7 linked regions of the Callithrix jacchus genome follow. The protein of the gene in region 4 binds, or shares a complex with, the protein of the main gene of each other region. Links are inferred from orthologs where the notes say so. Each region holds a gene or a part of one and is shown on either strand. Other genes may lie near its edges.

What was found.
Region 1: NUP153 (region 4) and NUP214 share a complex: the UniProt entries of both Homo sapiens proteins name them as parts of the nuclear pore complex. The link is inferred for Callithrix jacchus from reciprocal best matches to the Homo sapiens genes NUP153 and NUP214.
Region 2: NUP153 (region 4) and CETN3 share a complex: the UniProt entries of both Homo sapiens proteins name them as parts of the nuclear pore complex. The link is inferred for Callithrix jacchus from reciprocal best matches to the Homo sapiens genes NUP153 and CETN3.
Region 3: NUP153 (region 4) and RANBP2 share a complex: the UniProt entries of both Homo sapiens proteins name them as parts of the nuclear pore complex. The link is inferred for Callithrix jacchus from reciprocal best matches to the Homo sapiens genes NUP153 and RANBP2.
Region 5: NUP153 (region 4) and NUP98 share a complex: the UniProt entries of both Homo sapiens proteins name them as parts of the nuclear pore complex. The link is inferred for Callithrix jacchus from reciprocal best matches to the Homo sapiens genes NUP153 and NUP98.
Region 6: NUP153 (region 4) and NUP85 share a complex: the UniProt entries of both Homo sapiens proteins name them as parts of the nuclear pore complex. The link is inferred for Callithrix jacchus from reciprocal best matches to the Homo sapiens genes NUP153 and NUP85.
Region 7: NUP153 (region 4) and NUP160 share a complex: the UniProt entries of both Homo sapiens proteins name them as parts of the nuclear pore complex. The link is inferred for Callithrix jacchus from reciprocal best matches to the Homo sapiens genes NUP153 and NUP160.

What each region holds. Positions count from the first base shown.
Region 1 is NC_133502.1:179,780,767-179,784,266, reverse strand, and holds part of NUP214 (nuclear pore complex protein Nup214), read right to left. Parts: intron 3,409-3,500; coding exon 3,257-3,408; intron 2,299-3,256; coding exon 2,100-2,298; intron 720-2,099; coding exon 649-719; intron 1-648. UniProt on the Homo sapiens protein: Part of the nuclear pore complex. Has a critical role in nucleocytoplasmic transport.
Region 2 is NC_133503.1:120,374,677-120,378,971, reverse strand, and holds the start of CETN3 (centrin-3), read right to left. Parts: upstream 2,801-4,295; 5' UTR 2,705-2,800; coding exon 2,688-2,704; intron 856-2,687; coding exon 720-855; intron 1-719. UniProt on the Homo sapiens protein: Plays a fundamental role in microtubule-organizing center structure and function. As a component of the TREX-2 complex, involved in the export of mRNAs to the cytoplasm through the nuclear pores.
Region 3 is NC_133515.1:20,391,147-20,395,288, forward strand, and holds the start of RANBP2 (E3 SUMO-protein ligase RanBP2), read right to left. Parts: upstream 2,801-4,142; 5' UTR 2,712-2,800; coding exon 2,640-2,711; intron 1-2,639. UniProt on the Homo sapiens protein: E3 SUMO-protein ligase which facilitates SUMO1 and SUMO2 conjugation by UBE2I. Involved in transport factor (Ran-GTP, karyopherin)-mediated protein import via the F-G repeat-containing domain which acts as a docking site for substrates.
Region 4 is NC_133505.1:13,137,983-13,142,143, forward strand, and holds the end of NUP153 (nuclear pore complex protein Nup153), read left to right. Parts: intron 1-2,051; coding exon 2,052-2,217; intron 2,218-2,523; coding exon 2,524-2,608; 3' UTR 2,609-3,661; downstream 3,662-4,161. UniProt on the Homo sapiens protein: Component of the nuclear pore complex (NPC), a complex required for the trafficking across the nuclear envelope. Functions as a scaffolding element in the nuclear phase of the NPC essential for normal nucleocytoplasmic transport of proteins and mRNAs.
Region 5 is NC_133511.1:69,136,430-69,139,929, forward strand, and holds part of NUP98 (nuclear pore complex protein Nup98-Nup96), read right to left. Parts: intron 2,336-3,500; coding exon 2,106-2,335; intron 964-2,105; coding exon 697-963; intron 1-696. UniProt on the Homo sapiens protein: Plays a role in the nuclear pore complex (NPC) assembly and/or maintenance. NUP98 and NUP96 are involved in the bidirectional transport across the NPC. May anchor NUP153 and TPR to the NPC.
Region 6 is NC_133506.1:131,157,853-131,161,352, reverse strand, and holds part of NUP85 (nuclear pore complex protein Nup85), read right to left. Parts: intron 3,425-3,500; coding exon 3,341-3,424; intron 3,213-3,340; coding exon 3,147-3,212; intron 2,960-3,146; coding exon 2,808-2,959; intron 1,992-2,807; coding exon 1,874-1,991; intron 1,785-1,873; coding exon 1,684-1,784; intron 573-1,683; coding exon 421-572; intron 130-420; coding exon 28-129; intron 1-27. UniProt on the Homo sapiens protein: Essential component of the nuclear pore complex (NPC) that seems to be required for NPC assembly and maintenance. As part of the NPC Nup107-160 subcomplex plays a role in RNA export and in tethering NUP96/Nup98 and NUP153 to the nucleus.
Region 7 is NC_133511.1:112,898,790-112,902,289, forward strand, and holds part of NUP160 (nuclear pore complex protein Nup160), read right to left. Parts: intron 1,069-3,500; coding exon 858-1,068; intron 545-857; coding exon 322-544; intron 1-321. UniProt on the Homo sapiens protein: Functions as a component of the nuclear pore complex (NPC). Involved in poly(A)+ RNA transport.

The sequences.
Region 1 (3,500 bases), on a different chromosome or scaffold from region 4:
GAAGAAGGCACAACAAAGGCCTTGGCGCCACCTGTGACTCCCTCCTTCATGTCCAGGCTCAATAGACATATGTGGGTTCCTTGCAACTCAATTGATATCGAAAGATATTTGCAAATATTATCTCAAGAACATCACAGGGAGGATGATAGAGGGCACATGCAACAACACGAGTATCCATTTTCTTTGATGCCCACAGTTAGAGAAACGAATTCTTTAAGATGGATTCAATTAAAAGACAAATACTGTGCTTTAACCCAGAGTGATTCTGCACGGTTGTCATAGCTTTTTCACTAACTCTTTGCCTTTAAGCTATGTTTTTATGGAATGGACTGAAAATATTAAGTTGGGAACAGTACAGAGTATGATCATGTTTTACATAAAAAACAAAACAAAAAATGCAGCTACACACAGATTGTTTGTATAACATCCAGAAAAGCCTGGAAGGCCACCTAGTCTATACAACATAGTGGGTGCCTCTGGAGGGAGGACTATGGGAGAGAAGGGAAGAGGTTCCACTCTTCATTCACTGATGGATTTGTTACAATGAGCATTACTTTTTAATAGGAAAAACAAGAACAATACTCCGAAACCACCCCCAAAAAAGTGGGTGACTTAAGAAAAATTCTAAAGTTCAAGATATGAACTTACAGGAAGATACTGGACCACAGTTCCATTCTGTTTTCCCACTGCCAGCTGCTTTCCTTTGGGGCTCCAGCACACTGAGCAAAGACAATGTTACCAAATAAAAACAAGAAAATGGAGCAAACCAATGAGATCTATCACACACAGCTAATTATCACTTCTCATTCCTCTGTCAGTCCATGGAAGATTGTAGGATCATCCCCACCCGACAAAATGGAAAAAAGTAAAATTATTTTAAGGATATAAGCCAACTGATTTATCACTGGGCTATTGAATTGAAAGCTAAAAATGCTTTTTCAATAAATTACTGCCCAGAAAGCTGCAAAATACAGAAAACTCTGTAGTCTTTAGATAAGACAAGGAGAACACAGAAGGTTTCCAAACATCAAGAAATCATTGGCTGGGCGTGGTTGATCACGCCTGTAATCCCAACACTTTGGGAAGTCAAGGCAGATGATCACCTGAGGTCAGAAGTTCAAGACCAGCCTGGCCAACATGGAGAAACCATGTCTTTACTAAAAAAATACAAAAATTAGCTGGGCAAGGTGGTATGCACCTGTAATCCCAGTTAAACTGGAGGCTGAGGCAGGAGAATCACGAGAATCACTTGGATCTGCGAGGTGGAGGCTGCAGTGAGCCAAGATCATGCCACTGCACTCCAGCCTGGGTGACAGAGTCAGACTCTGTCTAAAAAAAAAGAAAGAAAGAAATCATTCTCCTGCTCCTATTTGATATTCCAAATGCCTCTCCCCATGAAGGTACAAGTGACTTTTGGAGTATCACCATTATAGATCCAGAAGCAATTATTCTCAAAAACAGTTTCAAACCAGCTATACCAAAAGATTTCTCCAAAACCCAAGTATATTCAGGTTAAATTATGTATGCTGTTTGGCTTCAAGGACAGTAAGTATGGGAATAAAGAATACTCTTAGCCAGGTGCAGCAACTCACACCTGTAATGGGAGGCGGAGGAGGGCAAATCATTTGAGGTCAGGAGTTTGAGACCAGCCTGGCCAACATGGTGAAACCCTGTTTCTACAAAAAAATACAAAAAATTAGCTGGGTATGGTGGCACAGGCCTATAATCCCAGCTTTTTGGTAGCCAAGACACAAGAATTGCTTGGACCCAGGAGGTAAAGGCTGCAGTGAGCCAAGATCATGCCACTGCACTCCAGCCTGGGTGACAGAGTGAGACTGTCTCCAAAACCAAAAAAACCTCCACTCTTTTTTTTTGTTTTCTTTTTTTTAATGGTTATTTTTTCAAAGTTCCACAAAAAACCCTCCACTCTTAACCTCCTGTCATGTTTAAAAAAACAAAAAACAAAACCACACACACACACACACACACACACACACACACACACAAGACGAAAAGCTATCCACTTTTACTTCTAGAAATCAATTCTTAAGTAGACTGCCATTATTGTATGTTACAGTGTGAGAGCCTTTGTTACTCACCAGAGGTTACTGCTACTGTAGAAGGAAGTGTTGCACACACTTTCACTGTTTCTGTGACTTGCAGGACAGCAATACTACCATCAGCCAGACAAACTGCCACCATGGAGGGGACAGTGGGATTCCACTTCATATCAATCACCATGCCTCCTGCATCTTTCAAAAGCTTATGATAGGCAAATGGGCGTTTCTGCTGTTTAGCCTTTTAAAACAAATATGCAAAAGTGGAATAAGTTAACAAATTAGTAAATGCAGAGACATTTAATATTCTATGGAAATTACCGAATATACAAGTTATCTCAAATTAGTTTTTCTCCATAACCATAAAAAAAGACTTAGCTTTATATATCTATTTGCTATAGACAGTTTTAACACAACTTAGAAAATGGCAATCAATTATTCATTTTTTTGAGACAGGATCTCCATCTGTCACCCAGGCTGGAGTGCAGTGGCGCAATCCTGGCTCACTGCAACCTCTACCACCCGAGTTCAAGTGGTTCTCCTGCCTCAGCCCCTCAAAGTGCTGGGATTACAGGCGTCAGCCACCACACTCAGCCAGCAATCAGTTATCCTAACATGTTCAGGGAGACTCTCAGCAGGGGAATGCACAAATGCAAAATAACCAATAAATAGCAGACATGAGATTAAAATCTTGGCTCTGCTTAACAGTGTTAGGACCTTGGACAGTTACTTAAACTCTGAGCCTCTTTCTCTACCTATAAAATGAAGATAATAGTACCTACTACATAAGGCAGTGGTAGGCATGAACAAGGGACAAGACATATAAAGCACTTAGTACAGAGTCTGACACACTATTACTATTATCATTCTTAAACTGCTTGGAATGGAAGAACATTGCATTATGAGGCTAAAGACCCAAAGTGTAGGAATTTTTGACATTATCTATTACAAATTTGGGCAAGTCATGTAAGTCTCCTGGTAACACCTTGGGGCAGATAGTGTTATGAAAGAATTTCTTAAAGTCCCTTCTGTCTCAAAAATCTATGATTCTATAATTAAGGTGTTTTTTTTTTAAATCCCATATTTTAATCTAGAGAAAGACTTCAAGGGTTATACTATGAAGCTTCCAAGTTATAATTCAACACAGGGAAATCTGCTTAGGGTTCTCACGTTGATATCACAGTATAAAAGTAGCTTACCTCATTGGAGAATGTGCGAACATCAAAAAAAGCAATAATGGAACCATATTCACCGGACATCATGCACACAGAGAGTGTGAGGTTATCACAGCTCAAGGCCAGGTGATGGATTGGGAATTTCATAGGAACTAGCAAGCCTTGGACTTTATCAACTATGAAAACAAAAAAATACAAAGCAAAAAAACAGTATGTTCTAAGCATAAAGCCACAACCTCTAACCAGGTCAATGTGAAAAAATATATTT
Region 2 (4,295 bases), on a different chromosome or scaffold from region 4:
CTACCCCCTACTTGGAATTCTTATGCTTAAAAATCCCTTGCAAAATTAGAAAAATTAAAACACATACTTATATTCACCTATCCATTAAGGCTATTAAAAATCTGAAAATGCTATCTTTCCCACTGTGCTAAAAGTCCCATTCTACCCTAAACCCAAATCTCTCCCTATACCTCGACAAATATAATTTACAAATCTCTCCCCACATCTTGACATTTTAGGTATTAAAGTTGACATTTTACCCATCAGCATGTGTCAACATCAAACAGCACTTAAATTTGCACCAGAGAAAGTGGATTGAGACTATGTTACTAACAAATCCAATTTTTAAGATTAAGAGACAACACTCCCTCAATCTGAATACAGTGAGTCACCAAGAAACAAAACAAAAACAAAAACAAAACAGTGAAAAGAATATGGTAAGAATAGTTTAAATTCCAGTTTGAAATCCTTTAATTATGTCAGTGAAAAATAAGCACCTTCCCTAGGAATATATTTTTACATTTAAAATACTATTCATTTTATCATGTGAAAAAGACTTTCTAAAAACTGTTAGGGGTTCTGTTCAGTTTTATTATAGCAACTAACTAGGAATGCTTAAAATGCCTTCATAGTTCCAAACCAGTTTAGTCAAAATAATTATTTAGAAATGCAATGTAAAGCAACTGTCAAAATGCAAATCATTTTAACATAAAAACAAATATTTTAAAGTATACCATTACCTTTAATTCATGGTAATCTATTGCTTCATCTTTGTCTGTATCAAATAGTTCAAAAGCATCTTTAATTTCTTGTTTCTGTTCCTCAGACAATTCTCGTCTTTTTTTCCTCTTTGTTTTATCTACTACAAGCTCGCTTCTATGAAATGGAAAGAAAAAAATCCTTAAATTAAAGGAGAATTAAAGTCTACTTTAATTCTCTTTGCTAACAGAAATTAGCCAATAATTATTTTCTAAATTTTAAAAAAGAAAGTACTTTGGAGAAAGATAGGGAAACTTTCCCTTTATGAGTCAATGCCCTGTTTACTCCATAATCTAAATTGCTATAAATCTGAACTTCCCAAAACTAAAGATTGTTAAAGATTAGTAAAATAAATGAGGACCATACTTTTCCTTTTCCCAGCTTTTTATTTATTCCCACTAATGTTACTGTGGAAAAAACAAGAACTGTGAATAAGTAACATTGCTTTTATATCTGAAACTCCAACCAACTCTAACCAAAAAACAAAATACTCACATTATTCTAAGACTGTTAAAGAAAAATAACTCCAAACGAAACCAAAATTCATAGTTGACAGTCACTATATGTCGGTTTACTTTTGATAGCTCTTATAATTAAGTTCGTAAAAGTACTACAAAAACATACAACCGAATTAACTTAGTATTTTAGCATTGTTGGTTAAAAATGTTTTTAGATTACACCTTTCTAACAGTTTGGCAATTTGTCATTTCCTCCATCAATATTAACAAATCATTCAAAATATTAATGAGTCTAAACATGACAAATATTAGATGCCAAAAAAATACAATATTTGTGCTTCATTCTATATAAAAATGTGAAGAGTCTTGTCTCACTTAACATGTAAACTGGAGGTTAAACTTCTCATAAACAAACTCTGGAAAGCCTTAAAGAAAAAAAGTAATTTTTTTAAAGCCAGAAATATTTTCCTTTAAGAGTTGCCCATCTAAACATGCTCCAAATTTTCACAGGGGGATGCAACACTGGTATAAGAACAAGTTTGAAACCTATAATTCGATAACACATTATCATGTAAAAACCAGTTGACTCTATTTAAAACACGTATCTAGCTGCATTTGAAAGTCATTTTGGTCTCTGAAAGCTAGGAAAAAAAAAAAAAAAAAGGCCAGGAAGTGACCAGTAGGTGCAGTATGACAAAGCTGATGAAGCTTCCTTTCATGAAACCTGACTTGACACAAATTTGGGTATTCCTGGGGTCAGTCTTTTCCTTCCTGAGACTTCTAGAGGCCAAGTCCAGAACCGACCCACCCCCTGACCCCATTCAAGGGTACGATTATCCCTTAGCAGAACATGGAACATTTTTATTGTCCTAAGTATATAGTTTTACGGTACAACTTCTACAAAGGGTGAGAGGGCAACATACAGAGGGTTAGAGGTTAGAACTGAAAGGCAAAGAAATGCAAGAAGCTGAGGAAATCCAAGTGACAGTTTGCCAATTAAATTCACTAAAATGGGTCTCCAACTACACCATAAGGCAACGCCCTGAGAAATGAGGAAGAAGGAGTTTTGTGTTATTGCCAAAATTTATAGGTGGGTGATTTGCATTAGCAGCGAAGCAGCCGAGGCGGGGCCCTGGCCAGCTACACGAATTGAATGAAGGGATGTTCCGCGGCCTGGTATCTCACAGAAACGAGTAAAAGCCTCGCGATATTTCATTCCCTCCGCGCTCGCAACTAAGCCCATCTTTTTGGCAGTCCAAAGCCCTACGCGCTGACAGAAATAACTTCCTCAGTAGAAACGCACTGGACTCGATCCCTGCAAGGCACCAGGGCCCAGAGGGTGACTGGTCCGGGTAAGCTACCCTAGGCTCCTTTCCCGCGTCCCGAAACTGCATCCCCTACTTCGCCTCGGCCCCAAACGGCCTCCCTTCCACACCCTCCCTGCGTCCCGCTCCGGGGTGTGGAGAACACTGCCGCCTCCTTATTACCGACCTCAGAGCTAAACTCATTATCTCTTCGGACAGAGACGTTCCTCTCAAGAACGATTTTAACCCCCTACCCAAGACAGCAAGACTTTCACAGCCGTTCAACAGACACGAACGACCTTAGCGGCCTAAGGGACCTCCCACAACATAGACACTTTTGAGCTGGATTGGTTGAAAAATCTCCACGGTTCTGCCTATTCGGGCGGAAGCTTCACAATTCTCTGTTTTCATTGGGTACGTTTTACGTCAATCAGAGAAAAATGTTTCTGTCCTTCACCCACCCATTTCTCGGGCTGCTCTCGCCCTTCGGATTGGCTCGATGCCTTTTTCCCCGAATCCTTTGCGGGTCCGGCCTCTGATCCCTGCTGGATGTGCCCGCGGTGGGTGGGTGCTAGTCGTGTCTTGCTTGAAGCCCTGAGGTCTGTGGGGCCGACGTTCGGAAACTGGACACACAGCTCCGACGGAGGGAAGGGAAGGGACACGCTGCAGGCCACCCTCCGGCTAGGAGGGAGTAGCTGAGGAACAAGATCTGCGAAACTTGGCTCTGCTCTGTTCTAAAACTTTGGATGACCTCAGTACCTGGGGAAAGTGTTTAAAATGCAGATTTAAATGCCCCTTTCCCCATTCTAATTTCAGTAGGTATGAATCTTCGTTTTTACCCCTCACAAGCCTTCCAGGTGATTCTGAGGCAGGTACTGTGACTATACTTGGATTATCACAGGGTTAGATTATTAGGCTATTTATGGTGAGGCAGTATCTAAACCACCCTTCCCTTTCGGTTTCCTCCTTTGAACTGTTTAAAACGGATTTATTCGTTTCTCTCTCTTATTTTACAGTGCTGTAAGCTGTTTATACACATGAGACTGTCTTTACTACCAAACCAAGTCTCTTGAAGCTCACTTGAATGTCTTCTTATTCATCTCTCTTACTAGGTTCAATTTCTTGAAGGCCATGATTATTATCTGTTTAAGGCTTTTCTTTGTACCTAGTAAAATGGTGCATAGGTGCTCTGTAAATTGAGTGGAATCTTTTGAAAACCCGCAAAATACTTAGCTAAACAGCAGATCTCATAAACGTGAATAAAATAGCCTGAGGATGGGAGTTGAAGGCAGAGGATAGTATAAACATTACATGTTTAAGGGATGTATATAATGGTTTAGAGAAGAGAGAGAATACAAGATAGGCTTCTTAAAGGAGGTGGCATAAATATTAGACCTAGAAAGATGAGCTAAATTTGCATAAGTAAGGATAGTATGATAGAACAAGCTAAAAATTAGTTAAGGTTTAGCACCCCTAAAAATCAAAGTGGAACTTTTATTTTGTTCATACTGTAAATTTTAAGGTACTTTTATAAATCGCCTTTGAGTTCTAAAAGGAAAGAGAAATTACAGTTACTAGAACCTAATGATATTGAAAAAAACTATATGTTAACATTCTAAGATACAGACCAAGCTATAGGAGAACATTATTTTAAAGAAGAAAGGATAAAAATAAACCAAGCATTTATCTGAAGATGTTAGAAATGAAGAAGAAAATTGTATAATTGAAATTAGAAAGAGGAAATTAGTAAAGATAAAGTTTGAGAACAATGTTTGAAAGGAAATTGTTCAAATTG
Region 3 (4,142 bases), on a different chromosome or scaffold from region 4:
GTTGCAGCGAGCGAAGATCACACCACTGCACTCCAGCCTGGCCAACAGAGCGAGACTCCATCTCAAAAAAAAAAGAAAAAAGTTAGCCAGGCATGGTTGCACATGCCTGTAGCTGACATGCCTGTAGTCTCAGCTACCTGGGAGGCTAATGTGGGAGGATGGACAGAGCCCAGGAGGTCAATCCTGCAGTGAGTCATGATCCCGCCACAGCACTCCAGCCTGGGAGACAAAAAAAGACCTTGTCTCAAAATAATAATAATTATTATTATTATTAATGCCCTGTGCAGTGGCTCACGCCTGTAATCCCAACACTTTGGGAGGTGGAAGCAGGGGAATCATGTGAGCCCTGGAGTTCAAGAACAGCCTGGGCAACATGGTGAAACCCAGTTTCTACCAAAAATGCAAAAAATAAATAAATAGCAGGTGTCATGGGTGCACTTGTGGTACCAACTACTCAGGAGACTGAGGTAGAAGGATGGCTTGAGTTCGGGAGGCGGACATTGCAGTAAGCCGAGATAGCACCACTGCATCCAGCAAATGACAAGAGATCGATCCCATCTCAAAAAAAAAAAAATAACGTAAAAATTAAAGTGTAATTTCAGGAGTTACAGGTACCCTCAATAAGGTCTGTTTTAGACTCTATCACTATGTCCACATTTATGACTATGCTAGCAGTTTGAAATTACAATGTACAAGTAGGAATAGATAGTCCTCTTCTCTGGAGGAATAGACTGTAACTTACTTCAGTGTTCCCAGGACCCAATGCCAAAATTCTGCTGCGCTACCTATTTGACCCTGAACAAGTATCTTTAATCTCCACAGTTCTCAATATCCACAGGGTTCAAGTATCTTTAATCTCTACAGGTCTCAATTTCCACAGGGTTGCTGAAGTGCAAAATAAGGTAATCTATGCTTAGTTATTATAAAAGACACAACTGTGCTACTATAATAATCAGGATCACCCAGGGCTTTCCATTACGTTTGTTTAACGGAGTCTCCCTCCGCCTCGATTCTCCTGCCTCAGCCTCCTGAGTAGATCGGACTACAGGCGTGCACCACGCCTGACTAATTTTATTTTTAGTCGAGACAGAGTTGGGACCACCATGTTAGCCAGGCTGGTCCCAAACTCCTGACCTCAGGCAATCCGCCGGTAGGCCTCCCAAAGTGCTGGGATTACAAGCATACGCCACCGGGCCCGCCCGCAAGCCGTTCTTTTTTAAAAAAAACTTCCTTACAGATCTTTATTCTCCTAGGCCCTTGCACAGTAGAGACTTTGAATAAATATCCTTTTATTTATTTACTTTTTGAGATGGAGTTTCGCTCTTGCGCCCAGGCCAGAGTGCAAAGGCCAGATCTCAGCTACTGCAACCCCCGCCTCCTGGGTTCAAGAGATTCTCCTGCCTCAGCCTCCTAACTGGGATTACAAGCGTGTATCACTACACCCGGCTAATTTTGTATTTTTAGTAGAGACGGGGTTTCACCATGTCAGCCAGGCTGGTCTCGAACTCCTAACCTTAGGTGATCTGCCTGCCTCGGCCTCCCAAAGTGGTGGGATTACAGATGTGAGCCACCACGCCCCGCTAAATCCTTTCGACATCAACAATAAAAATAGTGACTTGCAGCTAACATTTTAATACTATGTGTCCAGCACACACAACCCTAAATGTTTAAAATGGATCACCCTATCAAATTCTATCAGTTACAACTCCATCTATGGATGAATAGTGTAACCTGTACCAAATATCCAACTTACAAAAGACAGCGCTGTGGTTATTCATCAAGCCAAAGCAAACTGACTCAAGATTCTGTGCACATTCACCTTTAAATAGCTTCTTCCATCACTCTTTACATCCAAATACTAAAGTCTTACTGAATCCAAAAGATATCATATTATTTACCTTTAAAAAGGAAAAATACCCTAAGAACATCTGTGGAAAAAGTTAAAAATTCTAAGGCATAAATTTGCAAGAAATCTAGAATTTTTTTTTTTTTTTTAAACAAAACACAAAAGCAGCTACCGAAGTGTTCTGGGTTCGGGGGACAGGGGTGAGTATGAAGAGTGGAGCTAGACCCTTATAAAGGGACAGCGACAAACACCTCAGCCTTAAAGCAAGGGGACTTCCCGTATCATTTGCGCTGTCGAGCCGTGGCAAATGTCTGCGTTGAGATGTCACCCGTCAGAGTCGCCAAAGCTCACCCCGGAGCTGCGTCAGTCCTCACTGGGTTCCACCAGGCCAAGGAGGTACGACCTCCGCCGCAGCATGTAAAGTAAATGTCCGGGAGATGGAAAGAACCCCGCCGGATACAGCATCCGAGACTTTGGTGCCCAAGCCCCAGAGAACTAGGCCGCGCCGGTCCCAGCGGTGCGCGACCGGCCAGAAAGCCAGGGCCAGGGTGGGCCCACGAGCGAGGACCGTCCGGAACAGGCCGGAAGAAAGAGGAAGCGCCGGCCCGCCGCGGCCCAGCCAGGACTCCTCTGCACTCGCCAGCGCCACGCCGCCCACAGGGCCGCGCTGGCCGGCCAGCGCCTCAAGAGAGCGCGCCACGGAGCAGTGCTTGTCAGGAGCCATGACGCCCGAGCCGCGGGAGGCCGCAGCCGGGCCAGGTCGAGACAGTAGGTTTCTTCGAGACCCACTCACCTCTCGAGGCGACGGGGCAGAGCCCTGGACCGAGGCGATGTACCGCTCCACGTCGGCCTTGCTGCGCCTCATCGCGCCGCCAAGCTGGCTTCCGAGGCGCGGGAGTCAAACACTCAACCCCGCAACGGTCGCCAGTTCCAAGAGCAAAGCGCCTTCAAGCCAGTGACGCAGTGCCGTCGCCGGCGGAGGACCAGTCTAACGCACTTGCGTATGCGTCAGCACTGTGCGCCACGTTGGCGACGTCGGCGCTCGCGCCGCACATAGCGGAGCTCCTGGCAACTTCCTGGTCGCGGAGCCTGGTCTTGGGTAGCCGGCGCCAGCGTCCATCACGCTAAGGTAGTAGGTTTCCAACAGATAAAAGTTTGCGTGCTGAGCTCTTAAGCCTTTTGGTTGCTTGTTTTAAATTATAAATGCTCTATGCATTGGAAGAAAAAAGCACTGCGGCCGATTTTGTGAGCTTGTAAAGTGGAACAACGTTTCTGGAGATGACTGGTTAAATACGTTGCGTTGGACATGTGTGTGAATACGAAGCATACATTTTTAAATTAATACCTTTTAAAAGAAATAATAAATTTTAAAGTGCATATATGAAAAAGTAGACCACAAATACTAAATTTTGAACAATTACAGTTTTTTAAACACATCCGTCGGCAGAGGATTGGTTCCGGAACCACCTGCTTATACCAAAATCCACGCATTCTTCCGGGCGCTGTGGCTCAAGCCTGTAAGCCCAGCACTTTGGGAGGCCTAGGCGGGCGGATCACCTGAGGTCGGGAGTTCGCGACCAGCCTAGCCAATATGGCGAAACACCGTCTCTACTAAAAATAAAAAATAAAAAAAATTTGGCGGGCGCCTGCAATCCCGTTATTCGGGAGGCTGAGGCAGGAGAATGGCTTGAACCCGAAAGGCAGAGGTTGCAGTGAGCCGAGATCACACCATTGCACTCCGGCCTGGGCAATAAGAACGAAACTCTGTCTCAAAAAATAAAAAATACAAAAAATTACCTGGGTGTAGTGGCGGGCGCCTGTAATCCCAGCTACACCGGAGGCTGAGGCAGGAGAATCGCCTGAACGTGGGAGGCGGAAGTTGCAGTGAGCTGAGATTGCGCCACTGCACTCCAGCCTGGGCGAGAGTAAAACTTCATCTAAAAACAAAACAAAAATCCGCGCATTCTCAAATCCCGCACTCGGTCCTGCAGAACTCTTAGAGAGGGTACTCTCTAAACGCGGGCCTCTCGAATACTGTATTTTAAGTCGGCTTATAAGTGGACCCAGGCAGTTCAAACCATGTTATTTAAGGATCAACTGTGTCTATAGTAATAGCCATTTGCCCGGCACAGTGGCTCAAACCTGTAGCCCCAGCACTTTGGGAGGCTCGAGGCCAAGAGTTCCAGTTTACAATTAACTATGATAGCGCCACTGCATTCCATCATGGGCACCAGAGTTTGACCCTTGTCTCAAAAAAAAAAAAAAAGGAATAGTCCACCAGATCTATATATATTTC
Region 4 (4,161 bases):
TTGCCTCCAGTGTTCTGTTACATCAGGACGTCTTGATGTGTATCCATTTTTATCCTTCGTGTAAGGAGTGCAGCATGCTCTTTTGTGAACATTTTGGGGAATTTTCCAGCATTATTTATTGAAGATTTTGCCCTTTATCATTCCTTTCTTTCTCACCTTTTATCTTTTTGTTGTACTTTCTGAGATTTATCTTTCATTACCTGTTCTGTTGAGATTTTAACTTCCACTATTGTGACTTTAATTTCCAAGTACTCTTTTTTATTTTCTGGATGTTTCTTTTTTATGCTCTGTGTTCCCCCACCCAGTCCCCCAGTGGATGAAGTATTCATTAAAGACACCGAGTTTGGATTTTTTTCCTTGATGTTTTGTTTCCTTGCTGAGTCAGTTTTCCTAAAATTACTTTTATTATTTTTGTCTCAGTGTTTCTTATTAAATACTGTCCTCAAATGTCTGGTACTCCTTGGCTACCTAGTTAACGTTTTTATGAGTGTAGGACACTTAAATACCACTTAAATCCTTTCTGTGTTGATAGGGCTTGCAGATCTCAAATTTCATTGTAGATTTATCTGGTTTCTCTATTTCACTAGATGAAAGGATGTTAGTATCCTTCTTTCTTTCCACTTAGTCTGTCAGATTCCCCAGAGAAGATGCATCCAGTCTCCTGCTTGGAGGGCATCAGGGAACTTCCATTTGCCAGTGTTCTGGAAGTTAAGATTTGGAAGATGGCTGGAGCCCTTAGTATTTAATGAATATTGAACCTACTCTTAATTCCCATTTTCAAAATGATATTCTTACTGTTAACTATATGTGGTATTCCCCAGTCCAGACACTTGTACAAAGACTTCTGTTCTGGTGAGGTGAAAGAGGAGAATTACTGTCTTCTTTTTTTTTTCTCCTTTTGAGATGGGGTCTCACTCTGTTGACCAGGCAGGAGAGCAGTGGCACAATCCGGGCTCACTGCATTCTCGACCCCCTGGGCTTGAGATCTTCCCACCTCAGCCTCTTGAGTGGCTGGGATTACAGGTGCACACCATTATACCCAGCTAATTTAAATAATTTTTTTATAGAGATGAGGTCTCTCCATGTTGCCCAAGCTGGTCTCAAACTCCTGGGCTCAAACAGTTCACCTGCCTTGGTCTCCCAAAGTGCTATTACAGGCATGAACCACTGCACCCCACTGAGAATTACTATCTTGGTGTTGGGAGGGGAGGGATTGGTCCTGGATATCTGCTATCCTTCCTTTCTCTGTCTCTCTCTCTCTTTTTTTTTTTGAGACGGAGTTTCGCTCTTGTTACCCAGGCTGGAGTGCAATGGCGCAATCTCGGCTCACCGCAACCTCCGCCTCCTGGGTTCAGGCAATTCTCCTGCCTCAGCCTCCTGAGTAGCTGGGATTACAGGCACGCACCACCGTGCCCGGCTAATTTTTTGTAATTTTTTTAGTAGAGACGGGGTTTCACCATGTTGACCAGGATGGTCTCGATCTGTTGACCTCGTGATCCACCCGCCTCGGCCTCCCAAAGTGCTGGGATTACAGGCTTGAGCCACCGCGCCCGGCCCCTCTCTCTCTTTTTTAATTCCTGCCTTAATTCTCACTTCCAGAGGTATTTGGAACCTAAACGTTTTGGGTATGTTTGGTATAAATGCAATTGCTTCTGTTCTTTACCTGCTGCTAGTTCCGTATCAACTCTATCAGCCTTCCAGCTTCTAAACCTTTGTTGCTGTGGTCACCTCTCTCTCTATCTTTGTAAAAATCCCTTGTTGTTTTAATGCACTGTTCAAAGAAGATAGAGCTAAATGTCTTTATTGATTTCACTATCTTTAACCAGAAGTCCAGGCTGCCCTTTTCCCCTTGGTCATAGGTAAGTTGTGTGATTTGTTGGAGGTGTCAAGTATGTACTGTGTGTTAGTGGAGAAAATATTTTAGTTTTCTTTGGATTAAGAGACCAAAATATCTTAATTGTCTGCATGTGTTTATATGTAGAGGTCAGAGTCATTAATTTCAAAACGTATCATTTTGCCCTAGTGAAGTATTTCTGCTTCAATTCTTATAGGTTCGGTTTTCCAGTTCGGCAGCAGCACTACAAATTTCAACTTCACAAACAACAATCCATCAGGAGTGTTCACATTTGGTGCAAATTCTAGCACACCTGCAGCCTCAGCCCAGCCTTCAGGCTCGGGGGGCTTTCCGTTTAACCCGTCTCCAGCATTTACAGTGGGGTAAGAGAATTTTTTATTGAAATGGAGAATTTACATTGGTTAGGGTATGTACATGTATATATTTTGTTTTCAAAAGTTACCAAGATCCAGTATGGTTTGGGTAAAATTAAATATGTTCTCCAACATAAATTGACCATACTGCAATTCTGGAGGATTATATTATAGTTTGAGAAAAGAAACAGTAATGCGTGTGTTAGGTATAGCAGAAAATGTATATAACAGTTGCTGCTGCTCATGGTAAATGTTAGGATTCGGAAATTTTGCTCCGAGCATCATACCACATTATGAAGCTTTTATTTTTTACAGGTCAAATGGGAAAAATGTGTTCTCATCTTCTGGAACTGCAGTCCCTGGCCGCAAGATAAAGACTGCTGTTAGACGCAGAAAATAAAGGTCACATTGGTGTTATACGCAATTTTAACAGCTCGTGCCTGCTTTCAGATACTGAGTTGGACTTTGCGCTAGGGTTATCTGAAGTCAGATCTGCCTAAGGACTTCTTTAATTTTGGATTTTTCCTCCTTTCCCTTTCTTTACAGAAGCCCCACCCTGCTTCATCTACCCTCTTTTTAAAAATAATAGCTAGACTGGTGACTGATTCTGCAGCAAAAATATTTTATGATCCAGCAGATTATTCACTGATTTGACATAGTCTGGCTGTTCCCAGGAATGGAGCCTGCACGGCAAATGGCTTTGTATAGAACCTCTTTGTCTACACCATTATGTGCGCTGATAAGCGTTTACGGAACGCGTTGAAATTGTAATTATATCTGAGGAATTCTGTATAGATTAGAATTCTGTATAGATTAGAGAATGTTGAAATGGATGATTTCTATGCTGAGTTTGTGCTGGTGTATGTGTGAAGTGAGTGAGTTGGGTGTATTGTGCACTAAACTTTTCTGATAGAGGAAGCCTGATTAAAGAATGGTCCGTGCTAAGGACTTGTTAGATCTAGTTCATTCTCCATTTAATAATTACATGCTATTTCTATATTTTCATTCTTCTATCACCTGTCTTGCCTTTTTCATTATTTTATTATGAAACTTGTGTAAATACAATTTTGTTTCTGTACTTTTTTGGCATAACATAAATCTGTGAACTTGAAATTTGAATTTTGTGTTAGAGATTTTTTTGTTGTTTGTTTAGTCTTGTCTCAGATTTTATTATATAAGTCCCATTATTCAAAGTTGCCTAAATCCATTTGGAAATCTTTAAAAAAAATTGGAGATTCTTAAAGTTGAATTTATTGGCTTTTCTGATCCAGTTTTGTTTGGACCAAAAACCAGTATTGTACAAAGTATTAAGCATATATTTTTATATTTACTAAAATGGACTGTGGTGACTTTGGATAATAAGGAAAAGTTTAATATTAAAGCCATGTTTATTACAGTATAATTAACATGTTAAACCATGGGATAAATGCCATCAATAAAAAATTATGACATACTTTTTGTTCTAGTATTACCTCATAATGAAGGTACACAGTCTTATTGGGACAGGACTATTAAAAGGTTAACAGTGGCTCATTAGAAGATAAATGCCAAAAAGTACATTGACATGATTCAGAAAACTCCTAAGAGAAGGGGAAAGTAATTTGCACATCAATTTACATACCTTTAAAAAACAGTTGAAAGTAAACACACATCCATTTCACTTTGTGCTTGTATCTTCCTTGGTAAGTTACTGGATAGTGTAAGTATTATTTTATTGTTTTTTTTAACTGGATTGTTTTCCTGTGGTTCACAAAAGAATTCTTGGAACAGTATTTGGTAATTTTATTTTTCAGTTTGAATGTAGTTATTTTGTGCTCAGTTTTAATTTGCTGAACTTCTGGTTGGTTGAAGTTTCTTTCTTTTCCAAGATGGAGTCTCTCCCTATAGCCCAGGCTGTGGTGCAGTGGTGTGATCTTAGTTCACTGCAACCTCCGCCTCCCGGGTTCAAGCAAT
Region 5 (3,500 bases), on a different chromosome or scaffold from region 4:
CATGTATATGTCACACTGTGCACAAATTTGTATATAATACAGAGTAAAGAGCTAAGTACAAATTGCACATTAAAATGCTTGCAGTGGGTAGTAGTCACAGGATTTGGGTGATTTTGACTTATACCTTATTTATGTTTTCTAGTTTTATTACAAATGTAATATAACATAAAATTTAAATTTTAATAAACAATGTTTAAGGTCTTAAAAAGAGAATCAGAAGACGTAGTTTGGCTGGGTGCGTTGGTTCGTGCCTGTAATTCCTGCACTTTGGGAGGCAGAGGCAGATGAACCACCTGAGGTCAGGAGTTTGAGACCAGCCTGACCAACATGGTGAAATCCCGTCTCTACTAAAATACAAAAATTAGCCAGGCATGGTAGCGGGCGCCTGTAATCTCAGCTACTCAGGGGGCTGAGGCAGGAGAATTGCTTGAACCCGGGAGAACGAGGCTGCAGTGGGCCAAGATCATAGCACTGCATTCCGGCCTGGGCAACAAGAGCAAAACTCTGTCTCCAAAAAAAAAAAAAAAAGTAATGGTTCCTACTCTACAGGAACCAGCAATCTTCCTGGGAAGTCCACAATTAACACTCACAGGCTAGAAGCCGAAGAGAAATCCACAATTAGGGAGGAGGGATAGAAGGCATTCATTCAGTAGGAAGGGGAAAGGGGTGCAGAGAAAGACCATATTCTTTCCCTACCTGACTGCTGGGCCAGAGAGCAGGCTTCACTGATCCTTTTGCCTGTGAGGTAGCTGAATACAGCCTCCACAGGGCTGTTTTTTTGGGTTAAGGAGACTTCCTCTTCAATTTGCGGTGTGGCAGTATGGGATAGCCAGCGGGAGAAAGCTCTTCGCCGCTCTAGAATTTGAATGTATTTATTGGGTTCATCTAGCTGGCTGTCAAGCTCCTTCAGGTGGCCCCATAATGCTTCACATAATGTCCATGTCAGGCTCCAGTGCTTCACAACTAAGGCAGGAACAGAAAAACTGTTATGAGACAAAGTCTTACAACAGCTTCACAGAAGGCATCTTTCTAATTGTGATGTTAAAAATACATAAATTAACAGACATCTCAAACAACCACTCAAGTCAATTACCCTCAATCTGTCTCTACCTCACTCAGCTTTGTCTTACAATTTCCTGAAGTACATGGTATTCATAAATGCCTGCTCACACATGTATGTGGTACTTATATAACAAATGTAACTGTTTTTCTTTTTAATTTAAAGATGGGGTTTCACCATGATGGCCAGGCTGGTCTTGAACTCCTGACCTCAGGTGATCCACCCACCTCAGCCTTCCAAAGTGCTAGGATTACAGGTGTGAGCCACCGTGCCTGGCCAACAAATGTAACTGTTAAACAGGTTCCCCAAGCCTAATTATGACTAATGTCATCTCAGATGATATCTAATTTGATAAAATTCTGTCTACAAAATTCAATCTAAAAAAGTACTTTATCATTTAAGCCACTTACAAGTATGTATTGGTAAAATAACTTACACATTTGAAAAGATGATGAGATGGTTAAGTAAATACAAAGAACTGAATGAACATAAATCCCAAAATGTGTGGCATAAGACATTCTAAAACAACCCATTTTTCAATAAAGGTGATTTGCTAAACACTGTTTGAAATACTAACAAATTAGAAAATCCCTTTATCAAAGTATTAATTCAGAAAAACATGGTCACAATAGAGAAAGGTAACAGAGAAGCAAGGAAGAAGAATTACAACAAAGTTGTTGAGAAGATCAATAGTACTTGAGCTGGACATGGAAGAATGGATAGGATTTAGAAAAGCAAGAAGGAATGCATCTCTCTCCCTATGTTTTCTGGGTTGGGTAAGAAATGCAATTTTATAAATCCAAAGATTTGACTGGCTACAATTTTTTGTTGAAGAATTTGTACATTAACGGGTACAAGAACAAAGTGACAAGAACATAGTGACAATTTTTTCTTGCTTGGGAATCTGCTTAAACTCAACCTCAGAAAATGACAAGCACAGGCATTCACCTACTAGATTGGTGTCAGGAAATTCACCCCCCCGGTGAACATCCAGTAACACCCCATGACTGAGACATCAAAGATTAGAAACATAGTTCATACTCACTTTGTGCTTCGGGTAAGTCTCCTGATGCTTCTTTAACCCAATCTGCATAGTCATGAATGACAGCAACTCCCGGATTGGGGACAATGAGAGGACACAGTTCATCCACATGGACAGTGCTGTGTTTTAATTTGAGCTCCAGAGGTGTCTGGTATAATTTCATGTCTTCATCTGGCTTCCTTTGTCGCAAACTGAGTTTTTCTAAGTGAACTTTGAATGGGGACTCAGTTAGGCTACAAGAGCAAATGAGGAACAGAATAGAAAAGGAACATAAAACAGAAGCTAGGATTTCACTTCAACCAAACCAGTCTCCTTTTATGATTACAAACAGAATGCAAAACATTCCACTGTGCTTTGAAAGAAATTTTGCTTCTTAAACTATACCAAATTTATCTGCTATATACTGGAAATAAAAATTATCTGACCAATGCATTCAGAACACAAAAGTTTCTTAGGCCAGGTTATAACAAGCAAGAGAATCAGGTTATAACAGAATGAGAACTGGCTAAAACTCAAGTGCCACAAGTTATTGTGGGATGTCTGTTTCGCAAATTATACTTGGATATCAAAACTCACGAGGCTAAGCTTACAGATACTAAGGAACTGACTCTAAATTACAATGAGCAGCTAAGCTGGCCTTGATCCAAAAATTTTTTTTTTTGAGATGGAGTCTACTCTGTCGCCCAGGCTGGAATGCAGTGGCATGGTCTCAGCTCACTGCTACCTCTGCCTCCTGGGTTCAAGTGATTCTCCTGCCTCAGCCTCCCAAGTAGCTGGGATTACAGGCATGCACCACCATGCCCGGCTAATTTTTGTAATTTTAGCAGAAATGGGGTTTCACCATGTTGGCGAGGCTGGTCTCAAACTCCTGACCTCAAGTGATCCGCCTGCCTTGGGCTTCCAAAGTGCTGGGATTACAGGCATGAGTCACCGCACCTGGCCCCTTGATCCAATTTTTAAGATTGATATTAATAACCTTCAAAATTCACAAGGTAATACTTAACCTAGAATTAATAGCTAAATTTAGTATCACTATTCTTAGTTGTGAGGTTCAAGAGACATTGTTTTTCATTTTTTCAAAGTCATTTTAAAAAGGAAGGATAGGCTGGGCAGGGTGGCTCACTCCTATAATCCCAGCAAGTTAGGAGGCCAAGGCTGGAGAATCACTTGAGCTCAAGACAACATGGTGAAAAGCCCATCCCTACAAAAAATTGGCCAAGCATGGTGTGTACCTGTAGTCCCAGCTACTTAGGGGGCTGAGATAGGAAGACCACTCAAGCCCAGGAGGTGGAGGCCTGTGCCACTGTATACCAGTCTGGATGACAAAGTGAGACAGGGCTTAAAAATATGTAATTGGCCAGGCGTGGTGGCTCACGCCTATAATCCCAGCACTTTGGG
Region 6 (3,500 bases), on a different chromosome or scaffold from region 4:
GGAACCATCAACCCAAAAGTTAATGACCTGGCACTGCTGGGTGTCGGGTCCTCCATGCACTGGTCTTCCTGAAGTCAAGTCCTCCAGACACTGCATCAGCTCATACGTCTGTTCTGCTGAAAAAATCACCTAGGGAAGAGAAACTGCCTTGCTTGGCTGCTCCCCAGCCAGGGGCCCACGTTCGCATGTTCAGACGTTCTTCCTTTCATGCCCTTTGGAAAGAGTGCGCTTTGTATAGGAAGACCTCATTTCAAACTAAGCGATATTTCCCATGTGAGTATGGAATTCCAGAGGGTGCTGAGGGGAATACATGCATGCAGGCAGAACGACTGGGAGAAACATGCATGTCGGCAAGAGCTACACACTAAGCTCCAGCAGGGACTGACAAGCAAAGCAAACCAGCGCTGCTGCAACCTTCACCTGTTTCTGTTCCAAAAGGGGCAGGGCATCTGTCAGCAGAGTCATCCAGAAAGACCGAGGGGCAATCTGAGACGTCATCAAGGACAGAAGGAGTGAAGCTGCATCGGCAAAACGCTTCTCCCCATACACACGGTGGAACTCGCGATACTTTCCTATAGCAAAACAAGAGCGCTAGATCACCTGCATATTCCCCCAAATCGCTCAAGTGACACCTACAAAAGTCGCCCTGGCCCTAACGATTTGAAAAACCCCAGACAAGCCACTCCAGCAAGCAAGAGATATTTCCAGAGCTGTCTCTGAACAGGCCAATGAGATGCAGACCAAGAGTGTTCAAAACAGACTTCGAATGAAATGCAAAGAGTCAAATCTGGGGAAACGTCAGTGTCAAAATACGTAACGAGTCATGGGTTAAGAGACTGACAACTGGGCGCAATGGCTGACACCTGTAATCCAGCACACTGGGAGGTCAAGGCGGGCAGATTACGAGGTCAGGAGTTCTGAGACCAGCCTGGCCAACATAGTCAAACCTCGTTGCTACTAAAAATACAAAAATTAGCTCAGCATGGTGGCATGTGCTTGCTGTAGTCTCAGATACTCAGGAGGCTGAGGCAGGAGAATCACTTGAACCTGGGAAGCAGAGGTCGTGGTGAGCCAAGATCATGTCACTGCACTCCAGCCTGGGCAACAGAGCAAGACTCCATCTCAAAAAAAAAAAAAAAAAAAAAAGGCGGGGATTGGCTAGGCCAGGTGCAGTGGCTCATGCCTGTAATCCTAGCACTTTGGGAGGCTGAGGTGGGCAGATCAGCTGAGATCTGGAGTTTGAGATCAGCCTGGCCAACATGGTGAAACCCCATCTCTACTAAAATACAAAAATTAGCCAAGTGTGATGCCACATGCCTGTAGTCCCAGCTAGTGGGGAGGAGGGGGGCTGAGGCACAAGAATTGCTTGAAGTTGGGAGGTGGAGGTTGCAGTGAGCTGAGATCACACCACTGTACTCCAGCCTGGCAGCCTGGGTCACAGTGTAAGAAAGGAAGTAAGGAAAGAGAACAGAAAAGAAAGGGAAGGGAGGGAGGGGAAAAGAGGCACTAAGGAGATACTACAGCCAAACTCATGATCCTAGGCATGATGGAGGACATTTCTGGGACCACCGAAGCAATGGGAATATAGGAAGGAAGTGCTGGGAGAAGTCTGGTGTGATCCCTCCAATCTCCCCAACTACCCACTTTTACCCAAAGCATGGGGCACAAAACCCAGACACTCACCCAGGAATGTCAGTCGGTCACTGAGCATCATGGCTGGCCCCAGGTTGTCGATGAGATCCAAATCAGAAAAGCAGCCTCGCTCACAGTAATCCCTGAGGAACCTGCAAGGCCCGGCCCAGAGATCAGAGCAGTAGTCTCAAGCCTACCTCACCTGCCCAGTCCCTGGGAAGCTAACACCAGTGGCACCCACCGGTCTGACACAAGCGTGGCAAAGGCGGCATCCTTAGCGCGGATGCTCCAAGAGAGGGCAGAACCCAGGCGATTGTTGCGGACGGCTTTCATGGCTAAGATCTTACAAATGCTGCGAACTTTGCAGGGGAAAAGAGAAAAGGTGAATACTTTCACCCCACAAATCCATTCCTGAGCCCTGTGGGGACTGGAGTGGCCTCACAGCCTCACTCCACCCCAAGCCTCTCTGTGGGCTCTAAACACAGCTGAGTCAGCAGAGCTGGAAACTCAGGGGCTGATTAATAGTGTTGGTGCCCATCACAGCAGGACTGGCCCTGTAAGTGTGTGGCTTCAGGGGTAGCAAAGGACGATTTCTGTTTCTCTCTACAAGTCAGCCCTTTTGTTACCTCTTTAGATACCTCAAATCCCATCTTCCTGTGGGTCATGAAAACCATATGCTTTCAGAAATGGTCTCGAACATACAACTGCCTCTCTGTAGGGTAGTAACTCATGTTTTTATCAACAGTGAGGGGAGAAAGGAAGGGGCAGACTTGGTCATCCTCATTCCACTCTCTATGCTTTTCTGAAGCCACCTCCAGCACTGTTCCCCACTGAGTCAGGCTGAGCTAGCAACAGCAACCCACCTGGACGGGGAAACAGTTACCAACCCTAGCTTTGACATCGTGGAATCAAGTGTGTGAGAGAAGAGGCAGCTCAGGCCTTTGCAGGTGGCGTGTAGATTTTGTCTGGGTTCCAGTGGATCCCTACCTTTCTTGTCCCTCCCAAATAATGATCCTATCTCCCAGCTTACCTCTTGGCATCCATAGCCCCACCTCTCCCATGTGGCTGGGGAAGAGGGGGATGGCGCGGGGTAGGCAGGGTAGGCACAAAGTATGACCTCAGGGTCTCCTGACTTCCGTGTCCCACACAGTAGGCTGGGAGTTGGGCCAGCTCACCTTGTTCAGTCATCTGCCGCTGCTCACAGATCCGCAGCACCTTGAGGGCTTTCTGCTCGGTGTTCAGAGGTATCCGCTCAATGTGCAACTCCAAGGAGACTCGGCCCAGCTCAGGGCAGTAATCAAAGTAATCCACTCCCAGCTGCCACAGGCTGCAGAGGTCCAGGAGGACAAACATGAAGTGCTACTTTGGCTCTGGGGACTGTCACCTGAGGCTCCCCTCCACTGACCCTTCCAGAGCCTTTACGGAGCCAACTGGGAGAGAATAGTCCAAGCTCCAATGACACCCACATGCTGAAGAGCACCCAGCACAGTACACACCCATGGGTTCCTTCCTACCTGGGATGAGCGAACAGTCCCGAGGCGTACTCCAGCAGGAGGCACTCTCTCATGTTGGAACCAAAACTGAAATAAAATGTAACAAAAGACCAAGACTCCTGGCCTGGCCTGTTCAGGGCCGCCTTCCTCAGCCCAACCTCCCTTCTAGGCATTGGTGGTGAGGAGAGGAGGATCCACGCTGCCAGGCCACTTACTAGAGGTTGTGTGACTGGAGGAGTTTGCAGTGGTCCAGCAGGTCCGTCAGGTGGGCCACAAACCACCAGTTGCTCAGGGCGATGCTGCGGATTCAGACACCAAGGCAAGAAGGAAAGTTAGGCCAGAGGTGGTATCCCATAAGAGTGGGGGTGAGCAATA
Region 7 (3,500 bases), on a different chromosome or scaffold from region 4:
ACTTCTTTGTTTCAATTAATTTAATTATGATGTTTAATGCCTTTATCTCAGGACAGACAATTAGGCAACTCATCTTTACTACAGGATTTAGAATAGGCTGCCTTATACTTGTCTATTTGTTTTTCCGTGCTCCAAATGCTTTATAGTTCCTTATCCACTGTATAAAAGTAAAGCATTAGGGACTCATCAGGCAAACAAACCAGTTCTGGGGCAGAAGAGATGCAATCTCTGCACTGGATGAGGAGGTTGAACTTTTAAGGTCTGTTTCAATGTTAACATTCCTTGTTTAAAGTTAAATCCATGCTCAGTTCCCATTCTTACCAGGTATGTCATAAGGAGGTAGCTTAAGAACAAAGATTCCCCCAGAAGCACATGGTAAAGCAAACAGGGCCTCCCCATCACTGCTAAGCCAGGCTGTTGAGGTGGTAGAATTAGGAGATATTCCAGGTACTGCTGGAATTAATTGATAGTTGCAAGGATCTGTGAAATCAACTTTTCCAATGTCAGTGAATATTGACTGCATCTGACTTTCAACTACCAACTCCTGTTGAGTAATTAAAAAGAAAAATCTATTAAATCAAAATAACCAGAATTTTGCTGTTTCTCTCTATTGCTAAAGAAGTTTTTAAAGTAAAAAACTGTCAAGCTTAAGAAGAAAGCTATTCTTTTTAATGAAAACTAATTCTCAACTTAAAATGTATCCCTGATGATTTTAAGTGATAACTATCAAAGTATGCTTGGTGAGGGATAACAAGAATCCAAATTTCCTTCGGTTCCAAAGGATATTGCTCTAGCACTCGATCTGTGACACCCAGAGTAATTTGGGAAATAAAAGGTATTGTACTTAGCCAACTTACACTCCTATACATCCGGGAAGGGTGTGGTAAAAGTAACCTGTGCACTGTTTGATTGGTTAACATCAGGATTATTACATGATTCTGAGTCTCAGAGACATAAACCCCTCCAGGTAAGACATTGCAATTTTGGAATTTTAGGCGAACAGCATTATTCAACAGATTTACGTCCAGTGACTCCTCCACCAGCTCCAATGTATCTCCAGAGGTCTTCCTGTTAAAAAAGAGACATTTGTTTGAAAACTTTATGCTTTTCTTTCTCATTGACTGTTGCACTGAAATATATCAGACTAGGCTGGTCTCGAAGGTCTGATCTCATGATCCGCCTGCCTGGCCTCCCAAAGTGCTGGGATTAAAGGCGTGAGCCACCAAACCCAGCCTAGCTAAAAGAGTTTTAATATTTATCAGATCTTGCTAAGGAATACACAGCCCAGTGGAAAACACAGTTTAAAGCAGAACCAGAAAAAAAGAACATTTTGTTAAAAATTTTTAAAAACCAGGGCCGGGCGTGGTGGCTCAAGCCCGTAATCCCAGCACTTTGGGAGGCCGCGGCGGGTGGATCACGAGGTCAAGAGATCGAGACCATCCAGGTCAACATGGTGAAACCCCGTCTCTACTAAAAATACAAAAAATTAGCTGGGCGTGGTGGCGCGTGCCTGTAATCCCGGCTACTCAGGAGGCTGAGGCAGGAGGATTGCCTGAACCCAGGAGGTGGAGGTTGCAATGAGCTGAGATTGCGCCATTTAAAAAATTTTTTTAAAAACCTATCAATCCTTAAAAAAAGAGCTTCAAAGTGACAGAAAATAACTCATGGTATATCACATGCCTGAAGAAGAAATGACAATACATACTGTGCTTAAACAAAACCAGAAGTGTGCTGGGATGCAGGTAACCTTCTTCAGGTGCAACTCTGCCGGGTGTAGGTCTAGAACCATAGCACGCAGCATTGCTGGGAGTGCCTTAATTTCCCATTGCCATATCTACCGTATCACCTGCATCCTTTCCAAAAAAGAAGGCTTCTTCCAGCAACTAAAGGCTAACTTCTGGCTTTCTCTGCATATTTCTCCTGTATCTGCCTCTCCTGCTTCCAGGGCCTTCCATCACCATTCAAATAAGCTGTTTTCTGGCCTCCCCTCACTCACAATCCAGTTATCCCATCCTCTCCATTCCCCTTCATGGCCAACCTTTCTCTTATTTCCTCACATCACTCCTACTCTTAAGCCTACTAAATCTGGCTTTTGCCTCTGCCACACCCTCTTCTTGTCAAAGTCAATATACCAATTCCAGTGGACTCTTCAGTCTTTCTCTTACTTGATCTTTTTTTTTTTGAGATGGAGTTTTGCTCTTGTTGCCCAGGCTGGAGTGCAATGGAGTGATCTCAGCTCACTGCAACCTCTGCTTCCAGGGTTCAAGCGATTCTCTTGCCTCAGCCTCCTGAGTAGCTGGGACTACAGGCACTTGCCACTATGCTTGGCTAATTTTTGTATTTTTAGTAGAGACGGGGTTTCACCATGTTGGCCTGGCTGGTGTCAAACTCCTGACCTCAGATGATCCAACCGCCTAAGCCTCCCAAAGCGCTGGGATTACAGGCGTGAGCCACAGTGCCTGGCCCTCTTACTTGATCTCTCAGCACCATTCCACATACTTAATCTTGCCTTCCTTTTTATTTTTTATTCTTTTTTTTTTTCCTCCACACTACAGAAGCCTTTCTTTTTAAAACAAACTCTTCTCATGAATCCTATGGTACTACCCTCTCCCAGTTTTCCTCCCACATTCCTGTCCATTTCTTCCCCTTCTCCTTGACCTGACCCCTATATAGACTAGATTTCCTCAAACCTGGATCCTGGATCATCTTCTCTCACTATACACTTTCTTCCAAGGCACATCTTATCTACTCCCAAGGATGTAAGTACCTTTTCATGTCTGATGATTTCCCAGAGCTACTTTGCTTCTGATAACTCATGGCATTAGCATAATTTTCTGGATCCTCAATTTCATCTCTGAATAATTCCTTCGTTTTCTTGCCTTATGGTATAATTTGGATCCTGGATCTCCCGTGAGGGCAGTGACCCCAGAGTTTTCTCTACCATGCCCTTTGCAGTGGGGCCTCAAGGGAAAAATACAGATGTCCTTGCTCCCCACTGGCATTCTAGGTCACTGTTCCTCCTCTCCTACCCGAACCACTCAGCTCTGAAGCTCATGGAATCAGATACCACCTGCTACCCATGCTCATTGCAGTTGATTTTGGCTGCTGGCCCACTGTCACTCTCTCCCATACTACTCTTGCCATAATTCTTAATGATTTCAGTATCAGGGCCAGGTACAGCGGCTCATACCTATAATTCCAGCATCCTGGGAGGCCAAGATAGAAGGATTTCTTCAGCCCAGGAGTACGAGATGAGCCTGGGCGACATAGAAAGACCCTATCTCTATAAAAAAAAAAAAATTAGCCAGGCATGGTGATGCCCGCCTGTAATCCTAGCCACTTGGGAAGCTGAGATGGGAGCTAGGAGTTCAAGGTTGCAGTAAGCTATGACTGTGCTACTGTACTCCAGCTTGGGTGACAGACTGAAACTTTGACTTTAAAAAAGAGCAAATAAATGAACAAACAATATCCAATTATCCTAATACTCCACCTTCTCAATT